Cricetulus griseus: one gene and its partners. The protein of the gene in region 1 purifies or fractionates together with the protein of each later gene. This does not show direct contact. Links are inferred from orthologs where the notes say so. Each region holds a gene or a part of one and is shown in the gene's direction. Other genes may lie near its edges.

Region 1 (3,258 bases):
GATGGGAAAGCGCTACCTTCGAGGTGTACACACTCTTGTCAACACACTTCAGCACTACATGAATTAGAGCAGTTTTGTTTAGCTTTGGGGGACATAATTTTTTCCTAGTAGATTGGATTCCTCATGGATCCAGCTCCCTTATTCTCGGCATGATTAGAAATCATTGGGCCACTTAGCAAGCAGCTTTGCTGTTTAGGGAATTATGTGGGTATGACTGCATATGGTAACAGCTTGTAGTTAAAGTAATAAGTATCCAGTAATTGTCACAGCACACAGTAACTTGCTTATCCTACCTTACAAAAGGAAACTGGTGCTCTGGGTGGTGAACTTGTCCATATCTCGAGGAACTAAGATTCATGCAAATCCAGGACTGGCATATCAAAGCCTAAGGTTTTTGTTGTTCTTTTCTCTCCTAAGACAGGGTCTTTCTATGTAGCTCTGGCTGTTCTAGAGCTTATTATTTAAATCAGGCTGGCCTTGAACTCAGATAGATCCTCCTGCCTCTGCCTCCTGCATGCTAGTATTAAAGGCGTGCTTGACTGTGGACAGCCTGAAGTGTATGTTCTTAACCATGGTAACATGCTGTTTCTTCAACAGGTGATGAGAATGGATCTGTCTCTCTTGTGGACACCAAGAATGCAAGCAGTACCCTCAGCTCAGCTGTGCACTCCCAGTGTGTCACTAGGCTGGTATTCTCTCCACACAGGTACTGTTTGTCATCAGGGGTTTGGAAGGGATGGGTTGGGCCAGTGGTGAGGGGTAGGAATGGAGTGATAAGGAATGTATCTATTGGCACAGCATTAGCTGGTTACATTGTTCCTTAGATGGAACAATGTAAGTACTCGAGCTTGGTCTTCCTAAGCTAGTCAGTACAGTTCTTATTAGGGTTGCATAGTCTAAAAACAGCTGAAATGTGATCTCATACCTGTTCAACACAGCTTGATTGATGTTAGGCTTCTGGCACCATGTGCTTAAGGAGCCTGATTCTGGGTAATTGCTAATGTAGAGAGGGACCCATTGGGTAGTTGGTTACCAGGGTGGTTTCTATGAGTACTGTCTCTGTTCCATTTTTATTGGAATTATAATGGCAGGAAGACCTTAACCCAAAGGTGGGTATCAGGCTGCCTTTTCCCCTGGCTCAGTTTATGGTGAGTTTGGGGCTGGTGCAGTCAGATTTTGGTTATGGAATCTAGGCTTTATCTTCTCTCCCCTTTGTTCCCTCTCCTAGTGCTCCCTTTCTGGCCTCTCTCAGTGAAGACTGCTCAATTGCTGTGCTGGATTCAAGCCTTTCTGAGGTGTAAGTTTGAAGTAGAACCCTGTGGTTAGGAATCAGGCATCAAGACCAATGGGCAAGCAGGTCTGTTTTGTCTTCAGGAACTTGCATGTAGAATTCTTCCTTTGTTGGGACTGGAGAAAAGCTCAGTAGTTAAGAATACTTCCTTTTGTTCCCAGCTTCCACATCCGTCTGCTCCCAGCTGTCTGTCACTCCAGATCGAAGGCATGTGATGCCTCTGCTTCTGTGGGCCTCTGCACTTGGGTGCACATACCCACTTACACATTATTAGAAATAAATAGAAGAAAATTCTCCATCTTTGTCTGTAGAGGTTCTCTCCATTTGTGTCTGTGTGTCTGCAGAGACTGAACACTGGAAGCAGTCTGATTGTAGGCTAAGTCTAGCTAGCATCCCAGCTTCACGGAGGGAACCCCTGCTGTGAAGTGAAACCTGCTATAGAGAGAAAGGCATGGGAAGGAAGACCCCGGTGTACATCTCTCTCTGCTATGACTTCCTGCTTGGTTGTAGATATACTACTTCTTTGCTCTGCATACTATTTCTTCCCCTAGGAAAGTAGACTGGATTGGATTGAACATCCACTGTCCTGGTGATAAGCTGTACAAATGGTGAAATGTTTAAAAACAATGTGTCCTGATTATGTTAGGTTTTCTTTCTGTCTTCTTCCCACCTCGGTTTTTGTGTTATCTCTTACCACACACCCACTTTTGTTCCAGGTTTAGAAGTCGAGCCCACAGAGACTTCGTGAGAGATGCTACGTGGTCTCCACTTAACCACTCCCTCCTTACCACAGTTGGCTGGGACCATCAAGTCATCCACCATGTTGTGCCCATTGAGCCTCTCCCAGCCCCTGGACCTGAGAATGCCTCAGAGTAGAATGGATTTCAGAAAAAAAAAAAAAAAATAGCCCTCCACCTGCAAGAATCTGCTTGCCTCTGCCTCCGTATTGTGAGAGCACAGGAAGGAGCCTTGTAGAGCATGTTACTCCCTAGTCCCGTGCAATAAACAGGCAGACTCTCAGCCTGAGGGAGGCTGCAGCCCATAGTGTCTAGGAGGGAAAACTTCCTTTATATAAATGGGTATATGTGTTCGAGAGAGCACATGTGTGTGAGTGTATTAAGTAGTTTGGGGTGGGGAAAATTATTCTTCAGCTTTCCCAAAGCACTGCTCTTTATTTCCCACAAAGTGAGAACAGTTTTATGCTTCCCAAGTCCAAGAATTGGATATGTTGTCTGGGATATGGAATGTGAGTATCCCTAGATTTGTGGGAGTGGTTCCACCACTCAGAGATGGGGTAACTTATTTTTATATAGAGTTTAATTCATTATGGGGAATACTTCAGTCCATAAAAGTCCAGCACAGTATACCTTGAGAAGACACAGAAATACCACAGTTTTGTACAAATCCATGTTAAACTGAATTTTCAGATCCATTTTCTTGGTGAATAAATTTGGCTGTTGCAATGTAGTTCTTGCTCACCCTTTGCCCTCCTCTGTGTTGTATGAGAGAGATGAGTGTTTTCCTGTCCTAGATTTCATAGAAAGTTTTAGGGATGATTGAACATTTAAAGGGGTTTCAGTGAAGTCAGAAAACTGACAGGGTTTCTTACAGAGAAATCTTTGTCATTTTTCCCACCTAAAGATACCCTGAGACCTGATTGCCTCTGGGCACCTTCCTCTGGAGATATGAAGTCTGAGTGCTGTATTTGTGAACTATTAAGATTTAAGATCCATCATTAGGGAAATTCTGAAATACTGAAATGTGAATTAAAGACTTGGGTCATGGCCTTTTCCCCCACCAAAGCTGTTGTTACTTTTTGTCTGCTTTACTTAGGTGAGTCACCAGGATGTTGTCAATTTTACTGCCGCTGTCTGTATTTTACCATTCCTGAAGTAGTTAGTTAAGGGAGAACTTAAACATTTATTTATACTTGGTGTTGGTGGTCTAGCCACTCCATTTAGAGTTCA
Region 2 (3,746 bases), on another chromosome or scaffold:
GCAGTGCTGCTGACCTAAGTGAAGCGGAGCCCACCCTCACACACATGAGCATCACCCGTTTGCATGAGCAAAAGCTGGTAAGAGCCAGAGCTGCCCCTCCGCGGCCAGGCGGGGAGCTGCTTCACTCAGTCACCCTGTGATAAACAGACCGAGGAGCTCAGCTTCCTGTTTGGTCCCTGCTGTGCTCCCTTTCCAAGGAGGAGGAGTAGCCCCTGTCCAACTGTGAGTCTGCAGGTGGAAGGGCTGGCTTTAGGCAGCATCCTAGCCACAGGGGAAGTCTGCTGAGCAAAGGAAAGGGATCTGTCTGGGCTCCTGGGGGACCTGAAAGAGAAGGACCCAAGAGGGTGTTGATCCAGTGCCCCAAGCTGCTACCTAACTTGCAGTACAGATGCTTGTTCTCCTGGATGCTTCCAGTGTTTCAGAGCCAGCAGGGGAGGACATGACTCCTTCCTACCACAGGGCCCTCCTGGGCTCAGGATAATTTCACAGATACAGGGTGCTTCCTCCGTCCCTTACTGATTGCCACGTGTCTCTTTTTCCAGGTACAGCATGTCGTGTCTCAGAACTGCGACGGGCTCCACCTGCGCAGTGGGCTCCCACGAACCGCCATCTCAGAGCTCCACGGGAATATGTACATTGAAGTGAGCAGTGCCAGAGGGATGCAGGGCCTGGGTGACAGGCATGTCTCACTCATTGTGTGCTCTTATCCTCAGGTCTGCACCTCCTGCGTCCCTAACAGGGAGTATGTGCGAGTGTTTGATGTGACCGAGCGTACGGCCCTTCACCGGCACCAGACCGGCCGGACCTGCCATAAGTGTGGGACCCAGCTCCGGGATACCATTGTGCACTTTGGGGAGAGGGGGACATTAGGGCAGCCTCTGAACTGGGAGGCAGCGACCGAAGCTGCTAGCAAAGCAGACACGATCCTGTGTCTAGGGTCCAGCTTGAAGGTGCGTGCTGACAATGCCATGAACGCATTGTGGGTTGAGTATGATACGGGGCTGCCTGCCCAGAACTATTAGTGGGCATTAGATTTGCTGTTTTCATCCCCCTCCTGTGTTACGTCTGTCCATCCCTACAGGTACTGAAGAAGTACCCCCGCCTCTGGTGCATGACGAAGCCTCCAAGCCGGCGGCCCAAACTCTACATTGTGAACTTGCAGGTAACATGGGTGCTTACAGCTTCTTCCTTATTCCTGGGGGTGTGCCACATTTGTGCATCCCGGGAGTCTTGCACAAGTCCATGCTCCTGGAGATGGCTGACCCAGCGTGCAGGGGACAAGCAAAGGGCTGGAGGTTCCTCTCATCGCCTTTCTTGTCTTCAGTGGACACCAAAGGATGACTGGGCCGCACTGAAGCTTCATGGGAAATGTGATGATGTCATGCAGCTCCTCATGGATGAGTTGGGCCTGGAGATCCCAGTCTACAGCCGGTGAGTGGGTGCAGCGCATGGGCCATTTCTGCCCTTCTGTGTGATGGGCTGTGTCTGTCTTCTGTGAGCCTCCAGAGGGACCAGCTCGGGTGAGGCTCCACACAGGTGCACTCTTCCTCCCTGACCGGTATGGTGCCTGGCATTTCTGTGAGGAGAGGGGGGTCTGCTAGCGTGTTCTCTATAGGATGTTTCTCCACAGAGCTCTTGCAGCCTGGGTGGACAACTGTAAGGGGTGAGGACTGCAACTCTGGTCAGACAGAATCTGCCCTTGGTTCTGGGATATCTGGGGAAAGCTTAATCAAATTGCCTTGATAGAGAATTTGTGATAATTTAGACGCGGTGTGTATATTGAGTGAAAAGTTTACACTTTCTTTCTCTGTGAATTTTCAGGGTCTTATAGGGGAAATCAATAACTTCTTTTAATCAAAGGGTTCAAGAAATTAAGGATCCCTTCACCTCTGGGCCTGGCAATTCTTGTATGTTATGTTTGTGGTGTTCTGTGACGTGGGCCTCTCCTGTGCTGTATTGTTTTTTGTTGTTATTGTTGTTGTTTTTTTTTTTAACATTAACTTAGCTCATTTTTCAAATCAGTGCTTATCTGCATCTTATGTTTATGATATGTGGTTCTGCATCTCAATCAGATACATGATCTCTTCATGGTCTAGTCTGTAGGCCAATGCCCCCCTAGTCAACTGGCCTTCCCTTCCCATCCCCATCATGCAGTCTGGAAAGGGTAAAGGGTCTGGTCCATCTGCCCTCATCCATACAAGTGAAAGGTGGGGCCCAGAGTTGCTAGCAACTTATCCTTGGAGATGGAGCCGTCCTGCAGCGAGCACAACCCTTCCCGTGTGTGCTGAGCCCACTAATGATGGATGAGACACTGCAGAGTTCAGCAAGAGCTGTGGCCGGCCAGCCGGCCGGCCTTTGAGTGGCCACCCAGGGAGACTGTCCCCCGCAGCTCTTTTATAGCTGGGTGACATTGAAGCTGCTAATAGTCAGAGCCCAGCCACCCTTAGGACGCAGAGGGAAGGGGTAGGATGACAGTTGGCCTCAGACAGCTTTTCCTGCGCCCGGGAGGGTTGTGGTGGGGAGGCTCTCAGACCTCCCTGATGCTGCTCCTCTTTCTGTTAGGTGGCAAGACCCCATCTTCTCCTTGGCCACTCCTCTCCGCGCTGGTGAAGAAGGTAGCCACAGTAGGAAGTCGCTGTGCAGAAGTAGAGAAGAAGCCCCGCCTGGGGACCAGAGTGCACCACCTAGCCCAGCTCCCCCCATCCTAGGAGGCTGGTTTGGCAGGGGCTGCGCCAAGCGTTCGAAAAGGAAGAAAGCAACCTAGCCAGGCGTTGACAAAGAACAATTGGCACTTTGCAGAGGGCTTTGACGCTTGTTCAGGGGCCTATGTCACCGTGAAGGCTACAGTGCCCCCACCGGATCTAGTGGGAAGAACTCTTGGGGGTGGCATTTCACGGTGATGTTTTTTTTTAGCCATTTGTCCTTGTGGGAAGCCTCTCTTGCACTGTTGTAACTGCCCCAATATGGGCTTGACTGTCAAGGACGCCGACCCCCTCCATCCCCCCTGTACAAAGGCGGCAGCAAGGCCTTTGTGAAAACAGAGCTGTCTTTCCTGGCCTGGCCAGCAGAGGAGCCCACCACTGCCTTACCTCACTCTCCAGGCTAGTCTCAGGGCCTCCCCATTTCTACTACTTATTACTAAAAGCGTTCACTTTATAGAAACCTTTTTCTGTGTTGGGTCTGCAGCACAGGGGCGGATCTAAGCCTCCAGTCTGAGCAAGTCGTATTAAAACATCTCTCTCCTGCCTTGGTGTCCCAATGACTCTACGTGCACCACGGAGTATCTGAAAATGTCTGAGGCCAGCTATGCCCAAGGCGGGTGGGGTGGGTGAGTGGGGGTGGCGGTACACACCATCACTTGGGAGCCAGAGGCAGGGGGATCTATGGGAGTTCGAGACCAGCCTGGTCTACAAAACAAGTTTCAGGACAGCCAGAGCTGTTACGCAGAGAAACCCTGTCTCAAAACAAAACAAATAACCAGGTCCCTGGGAATGCTTAATGCACGGGTGGGGTGGGCTGGGGTGGGGTGGGGGCGAGCGCACCCGCTTACTCGCGGTCCCAGCCGGCTCCCTCTGGGCACAGTGCCTGCCTGGAGGCAGTTCTGCAGCACACCCCTGGGAGGTGCAGCCCGCTGAGCCCCGACCTTCGACACACGCCATTGGTCGCGCAGGTTGGCCGGAGGGGTGGGGCCAGCCGCGGGCGGGGCCGGGAGCAACGCACGCAATTGGCCGCGACAGGCGGGGTGA
Region 3 (3,466 bases), about 210 Mb from region 1:
GCTGGAACAGGTATACATACGTGGCAGCAAGATCCGATTTCTGATTTTGCCTGACATGCTGAAAAACGCACCCATGTTAAAGAGTATGAAAAATAAGAATCAAGGCTCCGGGGCTGGCCGAGGAAAAGCTGCTATCCTGAAGGCCCAAGGTAGGTGTTTTGTGAGCTGGCTTCAGAATCTCCACCTTGCCCTGTTCTTTTAGGGAAAGGCCCTATTGTTGCATGGAGACATGACTGTACCGCATGTTGCTATACCCTGTCCTGACCTACCCCCAGGCTTGAGAAATCTTGGTACCGGGGGCTTTTCCCTGTTACCTTTCTTGCCTTACTTGATCCTATCACGGAGTTTAGTAAAATCCCAAATCTCTCCTTAGGGGGGTAAAAAAAAAAAAAAGATGCAGATTCCTTGAGCAAGGTTGGTGGCTCGCACCTATAATGGCAGCACTCAAGAGGCTTAGGCTGAGGGGGCCAGCCTGTGCTACACAGCAAGACCCTGGAGAGGCAGGCAGAGAGAACCCTGTCTTAAGTGAAATGGTCTTCTATAGTGAAGGCCCTTTGTTCTCAAAAATTCTATCCAGGAGGGCTAGGCAGCATGTTCTAGTCTAGTGAGGATGTGAATTAACACCTGAAACAGAAGGGTACCTTCCTAGAACTGTACGTGACATCCCCCATTCACCAAAGACAGAAGGGGTAGAACAAACCAAACACAGTTCCACTCAAGTCTGTCTTGATGAGCCAGTGAGCTTATCAGCGTTACTTAGGAGCATGGCTGCCCTTGCTGCTTCACTGGAGTTCCCCCTTAAGTTAACCATACATTTTCTCTATACTTCTCACCTCTCCTACAGTGTGCAGCTGGGGCCTTGACTGTCCTATAGGCCAGGGTGGCCTCAAATTCACAGAGATCCACCTGCCTCTGCCTCCCAAGTGCTGGGATTAAATGCGAGCGCCACCAACACCTGGCTCTCTCTTGTTAATTTTTAAAGTTGCATGGATTAGCTTCTTTGTGGGGAAAGGGACACATGTGGACATGAGAGTACAACTTGTCAGAATCAGTTCTTCCTTCCACCATGGGGCTCTGGGAATTGAACTTACATCTGCAGGATTGGCAGCAAGCATCTTTACTTGACAAACCATCTTGCCATCCTGTGTTTCAAGTTTTCTTAAATTTGACATTAAATCCCTCTGAGACAAAACAGCAGTGTAGCCACACTGTCTCCCAGTGTCTGCTTAGCTGCTCTTGGAGATTGTCCCAATTATGGTTTATATTTGGGTCCCTGGAAAATTCTGCCACGTTATTTATTGCGTGTTTTATATGTGAGGTAGCTTCTGTGTTTAAAGATAGAGTAGTTTTATTCTTTGTTTTGTTTGTTTGCTTGTTTTCTTTTGTTTTAAGAGCTGATTAAAGTCTTGGGACCAGAGATGACTTGGTGGTAAAGGTGGTTTTCATGTAACCCTGACAGAAATTGTCCTCTGACTTCTACATGCACACAGTACACACAGACATGAATAAATAGATACAAAAAAGTGTGAGAGAAAATTTTTCCCTTTGCGCCCACTATGACTGCTCTTGCTGTCATAGTGACACTGGGTGTCCCATCTATGCCAGTCATTGTTGTTTACTTCAGGCAGTGAGTTGTCCCTGGCCAATGACTGCTACATGAGCCACCTGTGCCTTTCCCAACCTCTGGCTCTGGTCCCTATCAGCAGGTGCATAGGTTTCCATCAGACTCCTCCCTTGGGACTGCTCCATGTTCCTGGGCACATAGGTCACAGAGTGGGAGACTTGTGCCTTTTTATGGGTAGTGTTATTTTGTTTTTGTTATTAAGCATTTCTTTCATGCCCAAAAGCCCAAAGACTCCTTATCCAGAATTAACAGGCACTTAGTATATGTGCTGGAGAGTTTCAAAAGTGAATTGAGGGCAGGGTGGTTTAGCTCAGTGGGTAAAGAGCTTTCCACACAGTATGAATACCTGAGTTCAGTACATTCATGGTAGCACCTGCTTGTAAGCCCAGCACTGACAAGACCAAGAAGGGTCCCTAGCCAGCCAATCTAGTCTACTTGGCAAGCTCCAGGCCAGTGACAGACCTTGTCTTAAGAAACAAAGTAATGGAGCCAGGCGTTGGTGGTGCACGCCTTTAATCCCAGCCCTTGGGAGGCAGAGGCAGTTGAATCTCTGTGAGTTCGAGGCCAGCCTGGTCTACAAGAGCAAGTTCCAGGACAGCCTCCAAAGCCACAGGGAAACCCTGTCTCGAAAAACCAGAAAGAAAGGAAGGAAGGAAGGAAGGAAGGAAGGAAGAGTAATGAATGGTACTGAGGAACAATACTTAAAGCTTTCCCCCTCTTCTGTGTACACACACACACACACACACACACACACACACACACACACACACACACACACACACACACACACACACACACACACACACACCCTTCCTTCCCTTACACCATACAGAGTGAATTGAATGCATCTAAATGGCATAGTATTTTGCCATAGGCCAGTCCTGAGACTTTGTCTTTCCTGTTGTACTCAGACTACTGTCAACCCTACCTACCACTCTAATAGCCAGAAATCAGTGTCTACTTGCACTCCTTTTCCTCCCCGTCACTGTGTGACAGGTAGTGAATTGGGGTGATGCTGGTTTTGGTGGCCTCTCAGGCCCCTTCCAGAGCTGATGCCCGGGCTCTAGCTTGTCATGAGCACTCCCACACACTCTGACCTCTCCTCTTCTTCCTTTCAGTGGCTGCCAGAGGAAGAGGACGTGGAATGGGGCGTGGAAACATCTTCCAAAAGCGAAGATAAATAAATTTCTGTGGAAGAGAACTGTGTCCTTTTTTCTCTTAGGTTACTGTAGATTGGAGGAGAGGCTATGTGTGCATATGTTGTAGGTTTTCTTTTGATATTTCTCTTTGTATCAGAGAAACTGTTAAACTTAATAAAATTGGTTGTTTTGTGGTTTGTTTATGTGAGGGTTTGTTTTCTTTTGTTTTTAAGGAAATAAGAACTATGTGTTCATTCTGTAGTTTGCTTTGGCAGCAGGTTAAAATCTGACACCCTTGGACATGTGCTGGGAGAATGCCAGTACTTTTCAAAAGCAGTTGTTGATAAGAGTTCAGGTGCTGTGTCGGCCAGTTTCTAGTTGAGCCAAGAGAAGGCTGACTCAGAGAAACTCCAGGACCTGGGTTATCTTTGACACGTGCACTCGGTGTGGCACTTTGCTCAGTCAACCTTTGTGGGGCGCCATCAACCTGACCTGTGAAGATGTCTCGTGGCCTGATGAGCACTGGTTACTCTAGCCCCTCAGCATTTGAGCACAGTCTTCTGATACTAAGAAGTAATGCAGAGGCTCCTGGGGGTCCCTATCTGTGGCTACTCTACTGGCTCCACACAGTGTAGTTAGCATCTCAGCATTGGTTAGCACATTAATTATTAGCAAGGGAGGATAAGATATGCAGAGTATTTGA

What was found. Proteins that work in one complex are often made in the same cells at the same time.
Region 2: the proteins of Wdr77 (region 1) and Sirt7 purify together in Homo sapiens (affinity purification with mass spectrometry; 3 studies listed by BioGRID, with this or other methods). This does not show direct contact. The link is inferred for Cricetulus griseus from reciprocal best matches to the Homo sapiens genes WDR77 and SIRT7.
Region 3: the proteins of Wdr77 (region 1) and Snrpd3 purify together in Homo sapiens (affinity purification with mass spectrometry; 3 studies listed by BioGRID and IntAct, with this or other methods). This does not show direct contact. The link is inferred for Cricetulus griseus from reciprocal best matches to the Homo sapiens genes WDR77 and SNRPD3.

Annotation. Positions count from the first base shown.
Region 1 is NW_023276806.1:51,042,343-51,045,600, reverse strand, and holds the end of Wdr77 (methylosome protein 50), read left to right. Parts: intron 1-597; coding exon 598-706; intron 707-1,228; coding exon 1,229-1,297; exon of another isoform or gene 1,298-1,357; intron 1,358-1,452; exon of another isoform or gene 1,453-1,589; intron 1,590-2,007; coding exon 2,008-2,167; 3' UTR 2,168-2,758; downstream 2,759-3,258. UniProt on the Homo sapiens protein: Non-catalytic component of the methylosome complex, composed of PRMT5, WDR77 and CLNS1A, which modifies specific arginines to dimethylarginines in several spliceosomal Sm proteins and histones.
Region 2 is NC_048600.1:133,112,892-133,116,637, reverse strand, and holds the end of Sirt7 (NAD-dependent protein deacetylase sirtuin-7), read left to right. Parts: intron 1-4; coding exon 5-77; intron 78-542; coding exon 543-641; intron 642-713; coding exon 714-950; intron 951-1,081; coding exon 1,082-1,162; intron 1,163-1,324; coding exon 1,325-1,431; intron 1,432-1,821; exon of another isoform or gene 1,822-1,907; intron 1,908-2,562; coding exon 2,563-2,764; 3' UTR 2,765-3,246; downstream 3,247-3,746. UniProt on the Homo sapiens protein: NAD-dependent protein-lysine deacylase that can act both as a deacetylase or deacylase (desuccinylase, depropionylase, deglutarylase and dedecanoylase), depending on the context. Specifically mediates deacetylation of histone H3 at 'Lys-18' (H3K18Ac).
Region 3 is NW_023276806.1:263,052,713-263,056,178, reverse strand, and holds the end of Snrpd3 (small nuclear ribonucleoprotein Sm D3), read left to right. Parts: coding exon 1-149; intron 150-2,742; coding exon 2,743-2,804; 3' UTR 2,805-2,966; downstream 2,967-3,466. UniProt on the Homo sapiens protein: Plays a role in pre-mRNA splicing as a core component of the spliceosomal U1, U2, U4 and U5 small nuclear ribonucleoproteins (snRNPs), the building blocks of the spliceosome.